2 linked regions of the Drosophila melanogaster genome follow. Changing the gene in region 1 together with any one later gene gives a genetic interaction. Each region holds a gene or a part of one and is shown in the gene's direction. Other genes may lie near its edges.

The links.
Region 2: of nudC (region 1) and dar1, changing one suppresses a phenotype caused by changing the other (phenotypic suppression), as found in Drosophila melanogaster (one study listed by BioGRID).

Annotation. Positions count from the first base shown.
Region 1 is NT_037436.4:16,801,608-16,811,451, forward strand, and holds the start of nudC (nudC), read left to right. Parts: upstream 1-3,386; 5' UTR 3,387-3,745; intron 3,746-5,925; exon of another isoform or gene 5,926-6,124; intron 6,125-6,786; 5' UTR 6,787-6,937; coding exon 6,938-7,012; intron 7,013-7,087; coding exon 7,088-7,371; intron 7,372-7,560; coding exon 7,561-7,750; intron 7,751-8,050; exon of another isoform or gene 8,051-8,388; coding exon of another isoform or gene 8,389-8,417; intron 8,418-8,476; coding exon of another isoform or gene 8,477-8,882; intron 8,883-8,987; coding exon of another isoform or gene 8,988-9,260; intron 9,261-9,844. Other genes in the region: CG13024 (uncharacterized protein), read right to left, coding at 8,389-8,417, 8,477-8,882, 8,988-9,260. UniProt on the Drosophila melanogaster protein: Chaperone protein with functions in nuclear localization and cytoplasmic mRNA trafficking.
Region 2 is NT_037436.4:3,621,675-3,631,209, forward strand, and holds the start of dar1 (dendritic arbor reduction 1), read left to right. Parts: upstream 1-4,677; 5' UTR 4,678-5,407; coding exon 5,408-5,470; intron 5,471-9,535. UniProt on the Drosophila melanogaster protein: Transcriptional regulator which promotes dendrite growth by suppressing, either directly or indirectly, the expression of the microtubule-severing protein spas.

The DNA of each region.
Region 1 (9,844 bases):
GCGAACCATTCGGGTGACACATTCTCCCGTCTCGCCACTTGGGGCATTTAAAGAGGAGCCGGCCATATTATGGGGGGTACGGAACCGGTTCCCGGCTGCACCTCCAAGATAAGTGCCGAAAATTTGTCAGGCGAGATAACATTCTCTATTGCGAAGAATCTACCTGCTTACAGAGTACGGTGGGTATATGTGATCATGCGTTGATTGTTGATTCTTAATTATTCAGTATTTAATTTAGATATATGAACAAAAGGGTTCATTGATATAAACTAGTTGATTCATAAGAAAGAATAGGTTAAATTGGAAAAAGTTACTTTATAATGGAATGTGCAGCTTTTTTTTTTTAACAATATCTATATTATGCACAAGGGGTATTAACAATTTCGATTAGCATCTTCATCCGAACTTCTTGTGTTTCTTAGATCTTTTCTTTTTATTTCGCTTTGGTATCAGGCGTTTAGCATGTGCCAGCCGAGTGTCTGCGCCTGAAGGGAAAGAGGAAGTCGAAATTCTCATTCACTATGTTTTATTTTCTTTTTTATAAGTTAATAAACTTTGGCATACCGCTCGCCCGTGTCCACCCCTGCGATTTCATACAGCAGATAAGACTCATTCACGGCACTAGCACGAAAAGCCTAATGGCACAGTGAACTTCACTTGGGGGTTTTGGGGTTTGGGAAGGTTTTTTCCTTTCCGATTCCAATGGGTATGGGACCCAACCCAGCGCAGAGATTACGGCGTTCCATTGGGGGGAGCCATGCCACAAGGCGTTATTCACGATTTGCATGCGTGATAGCGGGGAATGGTCTATAAATATACACATGTTCGATTTCTGGCTGCAGGCGTAATACAATCACGGAGTGATAAGAATTGTGAAACGCAAAAATGTGACGTAGATGGGACAATAGCCCTCAACGTGTCTCAATATCTATATCTATCTATGATCTGATTTATCTGATTTGGGTGCAGTGGAAAAGTTTTGACCTAAGATAACATCAAAACCGAGTCGCAAAAAGTACGATATACGAAAGAAGAAATTTTGGTAGCTTATTATGGCACCGCAGAGAGTCAATAAAACTTGATAATCATGACTTGAATAAAACGCATATCTGCGTTTGTGTGTGCAGAAGCAAAGGTTGTAGTAAAGTCGTATGTTCTTATTATAGAAGAGATAAAATATGCAAAAGAGCCACGTTAAGCCATCAAAGATATATTAGATACTCATGGAAAACCGCAAAAACAAATGCTTAATCACTATGTGTTGATCATGACGCAAGGATAAAAATGGATTTCAAATCTATGAGAGGTTTAAAAACCTTTTCACAACTTCATATCTGTCATCCGGATTGACAACTTATCAATATTCCTATTTAATTTCCTTCAAATTTCCGCCGTTCTAATTGCATAACTTTCCGAGTGCGTCAGACCAATAGATGGCTATTTTCAGAGTTCACAATAATGCTGGCAAAACGGATATATATATGTATCCATAAGAACCAGCCCGCTGACGGTCGGAACATAAATTCCTGCGGAATTATCGATCACGTGTCGAATGGCATTTGCAAATTGTTTTGACATTTCATCCGACTAAGAGAGCAGTTAGTTCGTTTAATTATTTCCTACTAATTGGTGGAGACACCCTGTTCTTAAGTCCGATCCCAAGTCAACGTAAATATTTTCACTTCCATTTCGACAGAAGGAAAGAGGAGAAAAAATAAAGAAACGAAATTGAATATAGCAAACAAGTCTGCAGACTACCAGATGAGAATAGATCGCACAATGGAGGAGCGACCGGATGATACGGAGAGATATGTATATGTAGCCATAGATATAGCCAGCACCATTGCGTTCCATTGGCTCAAAGCCCAAAATGCGACAGCCGCGTGTGGCCCACATCCACAAACATAGGAGAGATATCCGTGCATTACGATAAGTACGCACATCTATAGATATTCAACGCAGATATTATATACTTATGATGTAAACAAGACCAGGCAACAAGTTTCAATAACCCCGAACGCAGAAATAAACAAATAAATTATGCGTCGACAACGTTGCGTGTGGTTAGTACGCTAAGTGATGGGGCATGCCACGGGACCATTATCGTGGGATAATTACAATAGGCGGTCCTAATGGGTGCCAGGATCCCACACAATGACAAGACCATTAGCCCCACCCAAGAACTTTCTTCCGTTGCACAATCTAAAAAAAACGGTGGAAAACCCAACTCCGGTAGCCGCCGACGCTATAAACTTTATTTTCCAGCGATTTACGATATAGCCTAGGCCAAAATTGAAAAGGGGGATCCATTGGGGGGGTGGTTATATTGCCGCTATAAATGCGCATTATCTGACCCGGCTGGGCGCTTATCAGGCAGTCGGGGCCAACTTCATTGGTACCCCCGTTGTTTTATGGCCTCCAACCTGTGCACTTGAGTCAGCTGTGCAAAGTTTTCGCCGCGGATTCCGATTCCGAAAGGGATCACCTCAATTGCTTTAAAAATAGCAACAATTGGTTTTCATTATCGGACGGTCGCGTGTTTAATTAGAGAATCAACTGTGCATCTTGCGGTTGGTTTTTTTATTGCGCCTCGGAATTACGTATTAGTAATTACAATTATGAGAACTTTTTTATCTACACTCACAGCGGGCTCTAGAGCTGATAATTAGCCTTGTTCGAAAGCCCTTATAATAACAAAAAATCAGTCAATTTGCTGATAACTCACTTTAGCTTTGATTAAATGATAAAGATCAATAGATCGAAGGGCCGTTCTTACACTAAAGTAAAATATTTTGGTAACTAATTAAACTTGAACCATTGAAGGTCCAAGTTAAATTTGTATATGATAAGTGCTAATCGATGGTCAATTATCATGGCTTCTATAATCGTGCACTACTGTCAAACATCAAAGGCATTCATGTTTAGATTTCAGATATTAAGAAATTTAATTAAATTAACTTCTTTAAATATGGTTTCAGAAATATTTGGACTTTACTACGTACCAAGCACTTATTCTTATGATTTAGCATTGAAAAGTTTCCAATTGCTCAGTTTATTTTCCCCATAAATTTCTGTCTGTCCGGAGAAATTTATCGCAGCTGCTTGCTATTTATGGCATAGGTGCGGTCCGCTCCCCACCACCGCCCGCTAATTGCGACGGGACTATCGTTTGCAGTCAATAAACAAGCAACATCGCAATTTACATTAGTTTCCAATGACCGTATCTGGTTGGGATGGGATTGCACATTTTGGGTACGTTGCCAGGCCCTCGCAATCCCCCCCAATCTCGCAATGTCTAGATAAACAGAGTTATGTAAATGGAAACCAAGAAAATTGCAGCGGGGAGCGATGGGGTACCGGGTATTGAGTTCTGGTCGCTTCTGTTTGCTATTTGTCATAAGAGAACTCGGGACCGTGCTTATCAGCAATCCACTCAACTACGCATACGTAATCCTCCCTATGAAATATCAATCAGTTCTAACCGCAATTGTTTAAAAGTCAGGAGCACAGAAGCCAAATATACTCACAAGAATTTGCTTAATCAATTTGTGACGGATTTCAGCATATTGTTGGACAGACGCTTTAAATCTAATAATAAATAAACTCATTTAAAAACATAACAAGCAAACATTTATGTCAAAAACATTTTGACGTTTTCGAAAAGCTTTAAAACATGTTCCTTGCAGTTTCTATTGCACATTTAACTGCTGATCAGTGAATTAGTCAATGAATGACAACAGAAAAGGTATTTTTTAGGACACAAATAAAATTTTACTGGTTTTAAAAACTTTTATTTTTTAAGGTTATGGCATCAAGAGTAATCTGATTAATATAATGCTATCATAATTGGTGGAGGCAATAACCATCAATATAACTGATTTAATTTAGAGGCTGCGACGCAATTGAAAAGTTTTCCGTTCGGGAACTCACTGAACCGATAAACCAAACTTGCGGCGCCACCATATTTCAAGCGAGACCGCAAAACATATTTAATTTCAAAGGGGATGCGGAATTTGCTTTGGGGGCATGACTACTTTGCTGACTTTTCAATAAGAATACGAATGTGTTTAGCTTTCATTTTCATCTTCACAAATCTGCGATAAGCCCGAAAAGGGCTCTAAACGCACTCAGCAGCAAAAAGGAGACTTGGTTCACACTTCCGGTAAAATCTCTGACAATCTTTTCTTAAGTCCATTGTCTACGCTTTTTATTTGCTCACTCAGTTTTGCACAATCCTTTTTAAGTGCTGGCACATAAAAACACACACATTAAGCGGTAATAAAACAAAGGCAAGAACGACGTTATCCTTTAAATTCAAGTGCAATTGAATTGTGAAAGCCTTTCTTCGTGCGGGAAAATAGCAAAATGCGGCGTTGATTGCATAACCGTTATGTCAGGAGAGCAAACCGGGCTGAGAGAGCGTACTTGGGGAAGCTGCCACCCCACACTCACCCACGCAGAGAGAAAGTTTAAATGTCAAGGGGCAGTGACGTAGTAAGGCAAACTTCGACGCCCACGTTTATAAATAGAAGGTGGAAAAAAATGTTTTTTTCATGAATATAAAATACAATGTGACAATAAGAACTTTATTCACCTTAAGATGCAGTAAATATACATAAGTGAAATGGATTTTTGTTTAATAATAATCTGTAGCACATTTTTAAGGTGTCAATATATTTTCTCAGTGTAATAAAGGACACTCAAGCACAAATACAGATACACAGTGGCTGTCATTAATTTTGATGCGGCAATTAGGCAGAGCGATTTGCGGCATTCGGTAGCCACAGACTTTCAGCAGTCACTGTTCTCGACGAGAGGGAAATGAAAAAAGATCGGATAAAGGGATGGGCGAGGGCGGTCGGTGGAGCGGCGAGGAAGAAATCACTGCCATGGCCCTTTGAAGCAGAGGAGAACGGAGCTAACCTTACTCTGACCTTGATGCGGAGCGAGCGGGAGAGCAGAGCAGCTGTCTGCATCACAGTACAAGGGGAAGGGGCGGTAAATAGCGAAACAAGATTCACGAATGAAGCACAGCACAGCCCATAAAATAGTCAACGAGCAAGAAGAAGATGAAAGGGGTGGGGGCAACATCAAGAACAGAACTTCGTAGCGGCAAAAAACAAGTACAAGAAGGAGAAGCTTGCGGCAGGGCGGTAAATAACAGTGCAGGCCATTGCCATAGGTCCGATCAGTTATATCGCAGCCCGTTTGTGGTATTACTTATTTTATGATTACTTTATTTTTTATTTACATTACAAATACCTATTTTTAATTGATTTTGAGAAACATCAAAATTAAAACTGCGCACTTACGCAATTTTTATTTTATTATGACTTTTTAAAAGTATAATATTTAATAAATTTTAATGACGCACATCATAAATAACGTATATAATATATGCTTAAGGAAAAGATTACTGGTTAAAAATTAATGAATCACTTAATGTTTCAAACAACACGTAACTAGCACTTAAGAAAACCCTTCCTTTCCAATAAATCTATCATTTTAAGTACCCATAAATTAGCGAATCAAACAGCTGCTAGTTTTATGTCCCCCACTGTAAGTTCTGGTGCGGGAGCTTCTGCTCTCCTTCTTCTTCCTGCTCTCTGCAATGCTTCCTCTTCCCACACTCCCTCTTTTCAACGTGTGTGTCTGTGTTTCTCTGTGCTCCATGTAAAATTTATTGATTTTCTAGAGGAACTCCTACGGGAATCAGGAAAAGCTGTGGTAAGAAAAAGGGGCACCCGGAACCCTTAACTATTCTCTTCTTCATTACAGCGTTTTTCATATTCCCCATCCTATACCCCATGGTGAATATTAGCCGTGCTAGGTAAGCACGTATGTATGTATGTGTGTTAAGTCATTTGCACATCACAATTTTTAAGCGACACAAAAAGGAATTCCACGCATATTTTTCGTAATTACTTTCAACTTTTCTGATAAAACGATTTACTATGCACTGATTTTCGTATTTTGCGCGTCCACACAAAACCAAGAACTTTGAAGTTTTTCACTTTTCCACTTGCTTATAGCACTTCCACTTCGATTTGGCTTTAGAATATTTTCTGGTTTTCCGCGTGTTCAGAATACGTGCGTTTATTTCAAAAGACCGAATGAGAATGGAAGAATAGGACGAAAATCGCAACTATCCCCAAACCGAAACCGAAGAGAGCGCAAAAGTAAGCGGAGAGCGAAAAGTTGCGTGAGAGCAAAAACAACAACAACATATGTTGTTTTTCGAACTCTATCTTCCATGTAATCTCTTAACCTTAAAATTAAATTTAAATTATTAAAGACCAAGTTTTACTAGATAAAGAAATAAATTCTTATATTTTCAGTAAATGGTTGCTTCAATTATTTACACATAGTTTGTCGCAAAGTACCGTTACATGATGCGCTCACTGTCAAAATCTCACTGAGACTCATTTAAATTGGATATGCGCTTTCCAGTATCCAAGTTCATACCACTTTTTTGTTCCCAATCACAGCACGAACAAATTCATACAAACACAATATAAAAAAATTGTTACTTGTTCAAAAAGGTATGGCAAATTAAGTAAATATTAAAAAAATTTTCCAGAAGAGTGAAGGGATATAACTAAAAGTTTCCAATGCAGGAAAAACCATTATTGTTATTGCATACAACTAAATTATATGTGGTACTAAAATATTATTTTTAAAATCCAAGCAGTCAAAAGCTGCAATACACAAAACTCGAGTACCGTTATGACCAATTCTGCTGACTTTCAAATGCTGGACGCCATGTGACGACTCGGTATATTCTAGTATGTGGGTATTTTTTGACGTTCGACGACAGGTCACATTATTTCTACATGTGCCGGGTCGGCAGCTAAACTTCAGATAAAAAAACCAAACGAATCGAAGCGTCCAGAAACAAACGAAATCTAATTCAAAACCAGTACAAATACTCCAAACCATGGCTGCTGAGGAGGGAAAGTTTGACAACATACTGCTGGCCGTGGCCGAGAAGCATCACGGTGGCGTGCCCGAGGTAAAACAATAACAAAGAACGCAACTTCTTTGTTTCAATTTTGTTTAATCATGTTGTTTGTGTTTTATATCTAAGTTCCTTGGCACTTTGGCCAGTTTTCTGCGCCGCAAGACCGACTTCTTCACGGGAGCCAAGCAGACGGAGTGGGAGAAGCTGCTGCTGGATGTCTTCAACAAGGAGTCCAAGCTGGCCGTAACTGAAAACTACGAAAAGATAAAGGCTCGCGAAGCTTCCCAGCGCCTAAAGGCGGAGAAGGAGAGAGCCGAAAGGAAGGCCCGCAAGCAGGAGATTGACGATAATAAAATATGTGATATCACTGACGAAGAGGCAGCGGCCATTATCAAGGAGGAGGAGACCAAGTAAGTGCAAGCGTAATGAGATCATTTACCAAAATACCCAGGTAACTCGGCAAAAGCTGTGAAATTCCTGCAAAATGGCAAATTAGCATTCCTTTTCAAAGAAAGAGTTTGAAACCGAGCTCAATTCTTATCCTAAATATGTTGTATCATTAGCATTCGTATATCTTATAATGTCTAAATCCCATACAGAAAACGCCAGCAGCTGCTGGATAGCGCTGGTGGAGAGCCATCTGCCTCGAACCGAGATGGCATCTCCAAGCCCATCGAGAAAGTGGACGATGAATCCGATAAGAGTGAGCTGGGTAAGCTGATGCCGAATGCAGGCAATGGCTGCACCTTGGAAAACTACACCTGGACCCAAACTCTGGAGGAGGTGGAGGTAAGTCCGGGCACGTCGCTAACGCCGTATTTCTCTTATTTGGCCCAGTGAGGTGTTGTCATAGTTATACAGTAGCTAGCAATTTTAGAAGCTCAATCTTTCAATGCGTAATTGATGTCCTTAATTGTGCTAGTGGTTTTTGAGTACCGCCAGACATAGTTATTATTTATTAATTTACTTAAACACTTAATCGGTGTTTTCTTGCCCGAATACCTTAGTCGCTGGTTGCTAGGCAGCGGTCATAGCTGAAAGCCCAAGTCATTGAACCCACGACAGGTGTGATTCATCAACCCTTCGTGTACAATTATACAATTCGCTTTATTAAACATATCACAGGGATAAATAACTTATTTGCTAACCAGAAAGTACAGCATTATCCGATACCAGACGGCTATTGTCCGATCCGCTCCAGATTTAGTTTCTTGTATGTTTCTCTGTCTCCATAGCATAGCGCGCTTAATACTAATGAATTTTCCCAGCTTCGACTGACTTGACACTCCATCCAAACAATCTTTAAATAAATATCTTATACAACTAGCGCCAAGACGACACGATAACAATAATAAAATTAATAATAATGGGGGACAAAGACAATACAATAAATAATAAGCTAATTGGCTAGGCAGGGGTATTAAATCCTAGCTCTTGGGCATGTCACGGGCGCGCACTGAAAGAAGAATAGTTATTAGAATTTAGCTGACACAGGTGATAGATGGAATAACTTACTCTCCAGCGCATAGACCATGCCCATGATGAGCAGCATGAAGATGGTACTCATGCTGACTATCAACACGGTGACCTGGCGCCCCCGATCGCATAGACCGCGCTTCGGTTTCTTCGGTGGACCACCCTCTCCATTGACCATCGTGAAGTGCATAGAGCTAGCGATGGATACGGTATCCAGGTCTTTGGTTTTCACATACTGCAAGTTGGGATCGACGTCGGCTGGCTGCTGACCCTCGATGGCGATAACCGCATCCTTGCCGCTGCCGATGGCCAGGTTGGCATTATAGTTTGACGAGGAGGGATTACTGGGCATCAGCATCTTGTTGTGTCGCTCCTGCTTCTTGTGGATCTCCGCAAAGCGTTCCAGATTCGCTGCCGTCAACAGCAGTGAGCCGGAAGCAGCGCTCTGTATAATTCGAATGGAAAAAGAGGAGAATGTTTGTTGAGTCACGGCAGTTCGATACGGTTTGGTTCTCCGCAACCGGAGCCTGCGTGGACTCGGCTTACTCACCCGCGTGCTGTTGTTACTGTCGCTGGAGCCCTGGGAGCTCCTCGATCCCCTCTTGGCAGCCGCCAGAACAGCGGCCGCTGCTGCCGCAGTTACTGCAGCACTTGTATTATTGTTATTGTGAATGCTGCTAGTGTTACTGGGCGAACTGCGTTGGTTTAGGGTAGGTGGATTGGAGTGCGATTTGTTCGAGGACTTGGACGAGCTGGCCGAACTAATGGCCGAGCTCGAGGAGGATGCCAGCGAGGCGCGGGGAATGTGCCAATAGTCCTGCATCTGTTGGGGATCGAAAAGATGTTGGTTAGACATTATTTTACGTAAACAGTTGGATAATATTATTGTGATTGTTGAGTTAAGGAATTTTCTGCAGATCGTGACACAATCAATGTGCTCCACAATTTCTGCGCTACACATTTTGGTCTTCCCCAGCCTCAGCCCCCGTTCTCTGTTCCCCTGTTCCTGCCATTTGGTGGTGCTAGCATCAGAAGAAATCAAAATCCAATATCTAAAACCTGAACTTTCGAGTTGTCTTTCGGCTTGTCTTTGTTTTGCATTGGTTGGTTGAGTTGCCAACTTGTTTGATATTTATGGTCTCCGGTCTTGGTTGGCTAAAAGCCTGATTTGTATTTAATATTATTAATTCGGCTAGTCGACAGTTTATTTTTTGTGGGCAAGCTTTTAAATCTGGGGCCTTTCTCTTTGAAAGACTTTGCCGATTGTTTGCTTTTGACGTAATTGTGGCAATCAATTGTCCCCTCTAAAGAAATATATATGAGAATTCTATTAACAGTGGCTAAAGTGAAAAAAAAAGTTGCATTTCAAGTTTGTGCCTTCAGTCTTTTGTTTGCCTTTGCTCTGTT
Region 2 (9,535 bases), about 13 Mb from region 1:
TACTTTTATGATTTAATTTCACACGAATTTATATTATTTCGGTGCAATTGTTTTGTGCGTCGTCGCATTTATGGTGTATCAGTGGTTTATGGTCTATGGCTTTTGGCTTTTGGCCAAGGCCAAGGAGAGATTTCACAATCCGAAAGCCAAAAACCGAGGGACTTGTTAGCCCAATTAATAATTATTATTGGCCGGAGTTAGAGAAGATGATGAAGTCTTTGGTGTGGGAGGCCTTGGCTTTCTCTGCGCCTGCCCACAGCCGAGATTTAATTAATTGCCGCGTAAAATTAATTTCATTTCAATTGTGCAGTCGCATCATTAGCAGTTCGCACCCCCTCCCGAAAATAGTTGGGACCCCGAAACCTGCTGAGTAAGCAATGATATCGTTTGTAAGTTTTGTAAGTTACCCCCATACCATCGACATCTCCGATCCCCAGCTACTCTCAAGGGCCATATCGTTTCTACTTCGCTTCGAGTGGGCTTGAAAGGTGATTAACGCGATCATAGAAATGATGTCGGAGGAGTACCGCACTGGGGGCTCATCTTTCCAACACCTGAAGTGGTACAGGGAAACGGGAATTTAATGAAGCACTCCACTGGGAGAAAATATCACCCGAAATGCTAATCACTTAATTCAATTTAACATCAGCTTATTGAAATGAAAGTCCTTCAGAACTTTTGTGACTAAAGGCTGTATAAGCAAATATGAAGTAGTATATTAACAGATAAAACACTACGACAATTGAAAGCGAGCGAACCAATAGGTAATATACTCTCCAAATAATGGACGTTATTACTAACAATAACAATAAAAATGCTTCGAGACCTATAATGTCAATTTTATTAGGCAGCAAAGGATGAATCTTTAAGATAGTACGGGGAGGTTATTAGGATATAAACGATAAAAGAGAATAAAATTTGTGACAAGCATTGTTCATTTGTTTATTTTCGATAATATAATAATATAATGAATCTTTTTCTTTACAGGTTTAAAATGATTTCCGATTGATATAGTTTTTTCTCGCTGTGTCGTAGATCGTTAGATGCTTAGATCATGACTCTTTCTTTCTGCGCTTGCGCACGCGCTAAATGTCAAAAAAGTGCCCATGAAGCTCGGGAAGAATCAGCCGCCTGCTGTTCGCCGCCGCAGCTCCGCTTTCCGCCATGCCACGCCCCCCGCCCTCACCTGAAAGTGACACGCCCTCAGGCGGGCCGCCCACTTGGAACATGTCGAATCATTCATTCAACGCAACGAAATGTGGGCTGCGAGGTGTTGAAAGGCGAGAGGCGAAAACCGAAATACAAAATCCGAAATCTAAAAGGCATTTTGTGTGCATTTGTAATTTGTGGAGCTGCACACAGCATTGCGCTGTCATTATTTTCTGTAACATTTAGCAAAATCATTAATAATTGTTGCCGCCGCTGCAGCGACACAGATACGCACTTAAAAATTGTCAGACAACAGTGACTATGCCTTGGTGTTAACTTGATTAGCATTCGTATAAATTCGCATTCGCAGTTGCATCTTGGCCGCATTTGCATAGAATGCACATTTCGGGGACCCAATTATTCGGGGTAACTAAAAGTCTTCTGATCTTGATCGCCTGAGCTGTTAGATGGAATTCGAGGTGGCCCCAATTCCAATTCCCCTGGCTGAGATTTCAATTACCCTCGCATATTATGCAAACAAATAAATTCGAGCGATAAGGTTAAGCCGAAGAAATTATGAAAATATTTCCCAGAAAATGCGCAGACAAAACAAATTGCCGCGTAATCTCTGGGACCCTTGCTCTTGGAAGAAATAACAACTCCAGGTTGACAATGCACGGCCCGAATAAATCGAAATCATTTGGGAACTTGTCCTTCTTTATCGGCAAGTGCCGCCAAGTGGAATCAATCAAGCGGAGAACCATTTCCTTGGAGGCTCTCAGATCGTGTTTTTCATATTATTTCGATTCCGATTTCGAAGCGTGACAATATTTTGGCCACAATTCAAACGAACTGATCTCGAGGGTCTTCGGTGGGCAATTAATCATGTCGAGCTGGCCGATAAGTTCTGCTCGGTCGAGTGCAGTGAATTTCTGGGGGGAGAGTCCTCGAATCTCCAGTCTCATAACAGGTAGTACCCATCGACATCGATCTTTGTGTGAGGTAAGAGCTGAAACAGGGGCTTCCATAAATCCCGCAGATATCGCTGGCGGGAAAATCAATTACTCTACAAGGATGTGCGCCTCCAATTTGAATATTTATGGTTAACTGATCGGATCTCGACATAAAAGCGCCAAAATTGATACATTACAGGCTTTTTTTTTACGGGGATTTCGGTAAAAACGTGAGTAAAGAGGATATAAATATGTCATTTATAAAGAGAAGTAAATAGAGTTTAAAATGATTACAGAAGGATCTAAGGATGGTATATACTCATAGACAAGTCATTATTAAACAAAATTTAGTTTTTTGTGCATAAAAATCGAAAAAATTGTCCAAATTTGGAAAGTTATACCTCGTTGTGCTCAGATCTTTATCCTTTACAAACACAAAACAACTGCCATTAAAATGTGTAAAAAAAATTTTTTTGACCATTTTCGAAAATTTTGATGATGGTACCCCTTACAAAAAAGTCGAAAAATGGGTAAATTTTTTTTTTTTCAAAAACTCTTAAAAAGTGATTTGGGTTTTCTTCTTAGGTTGTCGGGTGTAAAAAACAGTGCTTCTTATAGCGATGTGTCTTATTTTGACTTAGTTATAACATAATAACTGAAAAACACGCATTTTCGTTGTACCCTTCAATTAATAATTTAATTTACAGTGCCATAGATATTCTAAAGCCCCTTAATCATAATATGCATATTTAAATCCCCAGAGCGCGCATATCTTCGTACTCAACCGCTTCATTCTAGGCCAAAAGCGTTATAAATTGGCTGGCATTTGTCAACCGGCGAACGGAGTCAAGTACGGGCTTGGAAATGTGTCTTTGGCATATCTCACGGATGCCAAACGTAAGACAAGCAGCTCGAGAGCAAACAAAAGCGCGAAGACAAACAAATTCGAATGTATCTGAGTATCTCGGCTTGTATCTGCAGACGTCTGCGGTGGCATTAATGGCAAATTTGCACGAAGTCAATAGCGAAAGCCGGGGAATACTACAGTCAATTATCGGTGGCGTCGAATATGGACGAATGTATCTGCGAGTGTAGATACTTTCGTATCTGACCATGTATGTTGATGTTTTTGTTTTTCCACCTGCGTGTAGCGTTGTTGTTGTTTTTTCCACTTACTGCCACCGTGTACGCAAAAGTGTCTCGCTCTCTCTTTCTAACCGCATGCCCCGTCCCGCTCACTCGTTGTATCTTGTATCTCGTGTTTCTCGCTCTTTTTGTCGACCGCCGATTGGCTGACTTTTGAGTCTGCGCCGCTATCCGGAGAGGCCACACCTCTAAAAACCCCCTTAGAAAACCACGTTTGCGTGTTATTTCAGATACTTTTGGCCCCCCTGCACCAACCATTTTACCCCCCCGCGCGCGGAAAACATAAACTTGTGGCTCCCTAATGGCCAAAAATAAGGAAACCAGGGGGATGAGTCGAAATGAAAATGGCTTTTATGTGTGGCGTGCGTTGGGGTAATTTTATGATTCAGGGAATTACACAGGGAAATGACAGTCCTCGTTCTTCTTTTGCTTTCCACCTGGAATATGTAGATACAGATACCTTTTAATTGTCGCTCTATTGATTTCCCCCAAAGAAAGCACATAAGCTGACTTAATTTATGCTTTAATTCTATTTAATTATGTTTTTTTTTTACCATCTAAAACTGCATGAGGTCTATGAAAGATTCGCGTGTTAGCTGGACAGTTTTTATTTTGTTTAGGCTCTATCTAAAATGTGTCAAACTTAATGAACGGTGTAGTAAAGCGGTTTTAATGGGGGAGGTTCTGTTCGGGGATTATGCTTTGTATGTTTTTGATTTATTACTCCTTAAAGGCTACCAATTTTATACCTTAAGTTATAAAACTTATAAAAAAAGAACGAGGTCCTTAAAAAACACTCTGTCGTATAAAAGTTCTTTACGGAAATCAATTAAATCAAATCGAAGCCATATATGTAGATTTTATTTATATAAACATTTAATTGTAAAGTTTTGTAAATTTAAATGATATTCTAATTGATCGGATTATAATAAAATTATTACTCTAAAATTAATAATTTTTATTTATTTGTTACTGAATACTCCATAAGGGACTTATAAACTTTAATTTCTAACCTCCTTGCCCTATTTCGAGATCTTTTCTGAAGCGTGGTTACTTACTTTTTCACCCATTACCACCTCTACCGCAGGTCAAATCTAAAATGGCGAATCCCAGGCGGTTCATTCAATTAAAATCGATCGCAGCTCTTATACTCCAGTGTCTCCAATAAGATCAGCTGGCTGGAACACACCTGAGAGTCGGATATAAGAGCGACAGATCACCTGGGCCGAAAGTGGCGGAGAGCGGACCAGGTGAGCGGAACACCTGGTGAGCAGAGTATCCGACAGATACAGATACGAAAGGTGAGCGAGAGCGGCACAGAGCGGGCAGTGGAGGGTTAAGCGGCGGGGGTTAAGCGGCAGCTAGCTGACTGGCTTTCTGACTTTCGAGGCTCGTCTGCGCGAAACCCGCGCTCGTCCAATCAGTACGAACTCGGTTCCCGCCAGCGCAGTAACAACTTCGCCGACGAGCGCGTGAATCGCCTAAATATCCACTCAAGCAACACAGAAAATAAGTTATAAATTGAAACCCGCAAGTGCCTTACCATTATCTGTAGAATATTGCAACGAATTTACTGCCCATATATACAGCATATCGAGAGGAACAAGAGATACAGATACAAATAAGATACAAGCCGAAGCTCATCATCGAATGCGGAAGTGAGCGAAAGCCGCCGGCTTTTATTAATTTTGTGCAATTAACGCAAAGGATACAAAAAATCAGTGTGCAAACAAAGGGAAACAAAAGAGTGAGAGAAAGTGATCGAGTGCCTTCATTTGCATATCCTTGCAAATTAAATTAATTTAACAACAAATAACAAAAAGCAATTGAATAATAAGAAAACGTGCCGCAATGTCTGTTGCTCGCAGTGCCATGTCAAGCTGAAGTATTCAATAATAATCCCGAAATTCGATTCCGAATACGATTTTGAATTCGCATCCGAAATTGATTAATCACTGTGCCTTGAACTGATCGTGACTCGTGAGTCAGAGCAGCGCCATTTAATTGTCCGCAAACACAAAAGTACGGAGCCCAGTTGCAAATTGTCGGGTTAAATATTGGTAGAATATCGGTAGAATCGGTGGCATCCCCTCCCCCGCCAGGCATTCCACCTGGCCAACAGTCGAGTGAAGGAGCTTCATGCGAAAAACGCCGCTTAAATGCATACGGATATCATAATTGGTGATCAGTTTGCCGCCAACAATAACTACTGGGTGATGCAGGTGAGTTCGGTTACTAGAATATTTAATTAAAGGCTACTTAAGACATTCTGGAAATTCCAGCGAAAAGATCTAGAAAACTTGATCTTTTGTAATAAATAAAATCCAAATAGCAGATAGATATTTTCTATCAAATAAAAGGCAGTGTCGAAATTTCAAATATCAATCACTTAAATAAAATTCCCTAGCTTGATCAACATTCAAATGGAAATATATCCAACTATTATAGAAAGAATATGTGTGTCTTTAAACAAGGATGAACACATCACAAAGCGTTTAAATATCGTAATCATTAGCCAATTAATTTGCAATCACAGGTTCCTTGTCAAACCCAATTCAAATGAAACAAAAAAAACTTTACGTACCAAAGTGCGCTAATTAAGCCGCTTTTATTGCAAATTAATTTTAGCCAAATTTGACAACAATAAGCGAGCACACAACAAATACGAGAGCTTACAAATCACATGAAAAACACCTTAAGCCCAACAACTTCCGCTTATCAAAATGCAAATCTTGAACAGACCAGATTTTTGACGATTTTTGTACGAATTCGAGTACGAGTATAAATAAAACGCACGCGGCAATCACAAATTACAATAAAACCGAAAACAAATTAGCTCAATTATCGATTGAGATGAGGAGTTGGACTGCGTAATTTTTGAGTGTTCTCGAGTGTGTTTCGACAGAGATTAACACCTTGGATTTCCTCAGGTGTTCCTTCGGTTCCTTCGCCGTTTTTTCCCCATTTTTGTTTTTTTTTGTTTGTCAAATGCGACAATCGATTTGTAAATCTTGTTATCACCTGCAGGAACTCTCGGCTCTTAAAGCCGTTCTCAAATACACGGTCGGTTAACTCTTTTGAACTCATCCACACTTTTCACGCGTTCCGCAGGGAAACTGTGGCGATCACAGTCCATCCGATGCGATCCGATCCGCACTCCTCCTTTCGATATCCATGTTTGCAGCCTGTTTTTCTGTTTTCCCGGCTTGTTTGCCTCAATTGTTTGACTCGCGCTTACTTGCGAAGCTCTGGGTAAATATTTGCCCCCAACACTTTGCCAATGTGCCAAGTGTCCCCAACTGACTGACGAGATGGTTTCAACACGGTTCCTACCCGGGAATATATACATATAGCTATAGCCTGATCATCGACTGGGTGGCATTGATCGATGGTATTGGATAGTATGAGAACATAATTACAAACGGCAAGGGTACATACGTATGAGTAATATGTCTTTCCGAGGAACTGTTTATCCTGTTTATTGCTGAATGTCAATAAATACTTTAGAGTGAAACTGATCGCACAGATTGTGGTTATTAAAGTTATCGAGTATAGGTTAAGTTTTTAGGCCATACTCATTTACCATGAATTAATTTTTCAAAGTATACGTACTTTTTTATTACCAATAATCTTGAGCCTTGATTATCTTTCTTATAAATTTTATGATGTGTAGGCTATCTTCCTAAATTTTCCTATCATTCCCTGTCTTATTGCCTTATCTCAACATTTTACAACCGTTGGTCTACCAGCCTTACGCCCATTGATAAGTTCAGTTTCCCGCAGAAAGTCTAGCCTTGCTCAACAAAAGCTCTGTGTTAAGTGCCTCCAGCTGCCCTCCTCAGAACACTTCCTTCCCCCAGAGATAAGGATCGAACTCCGGGAACCTCAGCGAAACAGATATACATACATAGGTACAGACGAAGAAACCCGAGACATTGGCGATTCCGGGTAAAAAGGCATCGTAAAAGAGCTGGGTGTTCGACAAGTGTGTTGTGCTTGTTCCGCCTGTCACCATCAATAGCTGCACTAATTAGGCATGTGTTGTCAAATATTTACACACAGTCGCAAAAGTACAAAGCGCTGTTGGCCCCCTTTGGCCCCCTGGAAGCCCCATCCACTTCCTCCAGATAGTGTAAGCTTTTGGGTGAGGGGGTGGACTTCTTCCGTTTTCCACTGATTTAACAGATATGATGAGATATGGTAAGGTAATTCCCACGACTCACGGCGATTATGACGAAAAACTTTCGTATTTTATGGCTCTAAACGAAATTAGTTTACGATCGCTTACAGGGAATTAGCTGCACTGAGTATAGAAGTATCCAAGTATCCGAGTATCTGCGTATCGAATACATTCAGTGAATAATGGAAGTAATCCAGCACGTAGCCAGGCGGTTATAGCGCCGACTTTTGCGGCTCTGATTAATGACCCTGAACCATTGTGCTTCAATCGTAAATAATTAAATATAGATAAAAATCAGATAACTCTAAGTTTGAGCTTTTGAAAAAAAAAAGGGGGGGGGGGGGTGTTTAAACTAAACGGGCCGAAGAATTATGCAAATTATTTAAGACTAAACGAAACTTGCAGTCGCTCCAGTGATTTGTCAATAAAAGACATTTACAAATATACCAAATGAAACGTATATGAGTTTATAGCCTATCTGAATCAATAGGAAATATTTGCATTTGCGAATCGGAATCAGACAAAGGCGGCCGCCTTCAAAGAATCAAAATCGGTGCTGAAATTTAACAAGAATTACGGCAATTGCCTTGCCGTCTGCTCATCTGAGCCATAAAAAATCGTGGCAAATTAGATAGAAAACAGCCGAATAATGGCCCGATAAGATAATGATATCCCTAGTAGACTTTCCATTTCGAAATGAGTTCAAGATTGGATCGAGCCCCCGAACAAAACACCGATTGCCAATTACACACCGTCCAGACAATGGCAGTTAAATAATAACTGGAGTAAGCCATGAAAACAGTTGGCCAAAATCTCATTAAGGCCCAGTGGGAGATCGCCCATCAATCGATCGATTCCTATGCAAATCTCGCCAGTAATTTCTGTTTCCACCATAACAATGCCAAGTTTTTAGTGTCTAGTCTTTGCCATATTTTGATTTCGCCAATTCATGCAAATGAAAACGAAAACTAGCACACAAATGCGCCAAAAATGGCACAAAAAAGTCGGGAAAAAAATATCATTCATTTGCAGCCAGTTTTGATTGATTTGCCGCCTGGCCAAGTTGGAGGTCAATCGTGCCGCGAGAATCAATCACTCACAAGCCACTGGGTGCACATAGAATTTGCGGTTTTCTGGATAGCCTATTATTGAGAATTAAGGAATTATAGTTGAAAGAAGAACTGTATTATCCTTTAGCAGTATTAAGCCACCATCTTTAATTTCTTCGCATACCCCTTGTGCTGAGCTTTAAAAACCAATGTCTGAAATCATAATATCGACTATCCATCAATTTGGATTTTTTAAAAGCTTTTCAATAGAATCCTCACTATTGATTTAACCCAATCCAAGCTCTTGTTCCCTTCTTTCTTACCCAATGTTTATGGCACGTGAGTGAGCATTTATTGACCAAAGGCAACCCTTTTGACCGGCTAATTTCAACATTTTTTTTCGACTCAGAAAAAGTATCACCTTAAATCTTTGATAGATTGCCGGGCCTAAGGCCCAAAAAAAAAAGGAGAAACATGTTTGACTTCGGCGAATTATTGCGAAAACTAGTTTGCCCAAAAATAAGAAAAAAGGCTTTTATGCTCACAGAGGTGCTAAAACCCCCACAACATTGAAGCGCAATTCGTTTCAGGTTTGATGGGATCAAAAGCTCAGCGGATGACAGCGAATGAAATGAAATAAATTTCATTTAAAGCTCCGATGCCGCATTAAGATCAATTATTTGATTATGAAACAAAATCTGCGTGAAATCTTCGAATAGTTGACCCAAGCCGATGTCAAATGCCGGCGCTGTAAATTTCAATTTCGCATCGAATTCATTTCCACAACAAGGTGAGAAAAAAAAAACACATTTGATCGGGGTGCGATGATAAAGCCATCATCGGATGGTCTCCATCGCTCGATCAGCTCGATCGGTCGTAAGGCCCCAACAAAGGTTCAAACAAACCAGTCCGACACGAAATCAAATTGCAAATTTAAATTGAAATCGAAATCACAGCACATTTCGTAAGGCACTATTGTATATAATCCGTGGACCGATGGGCGATATCCCATCCCAGCCGCATATGCGTCTAAAAACACTTCAATTCACGTTATGTGC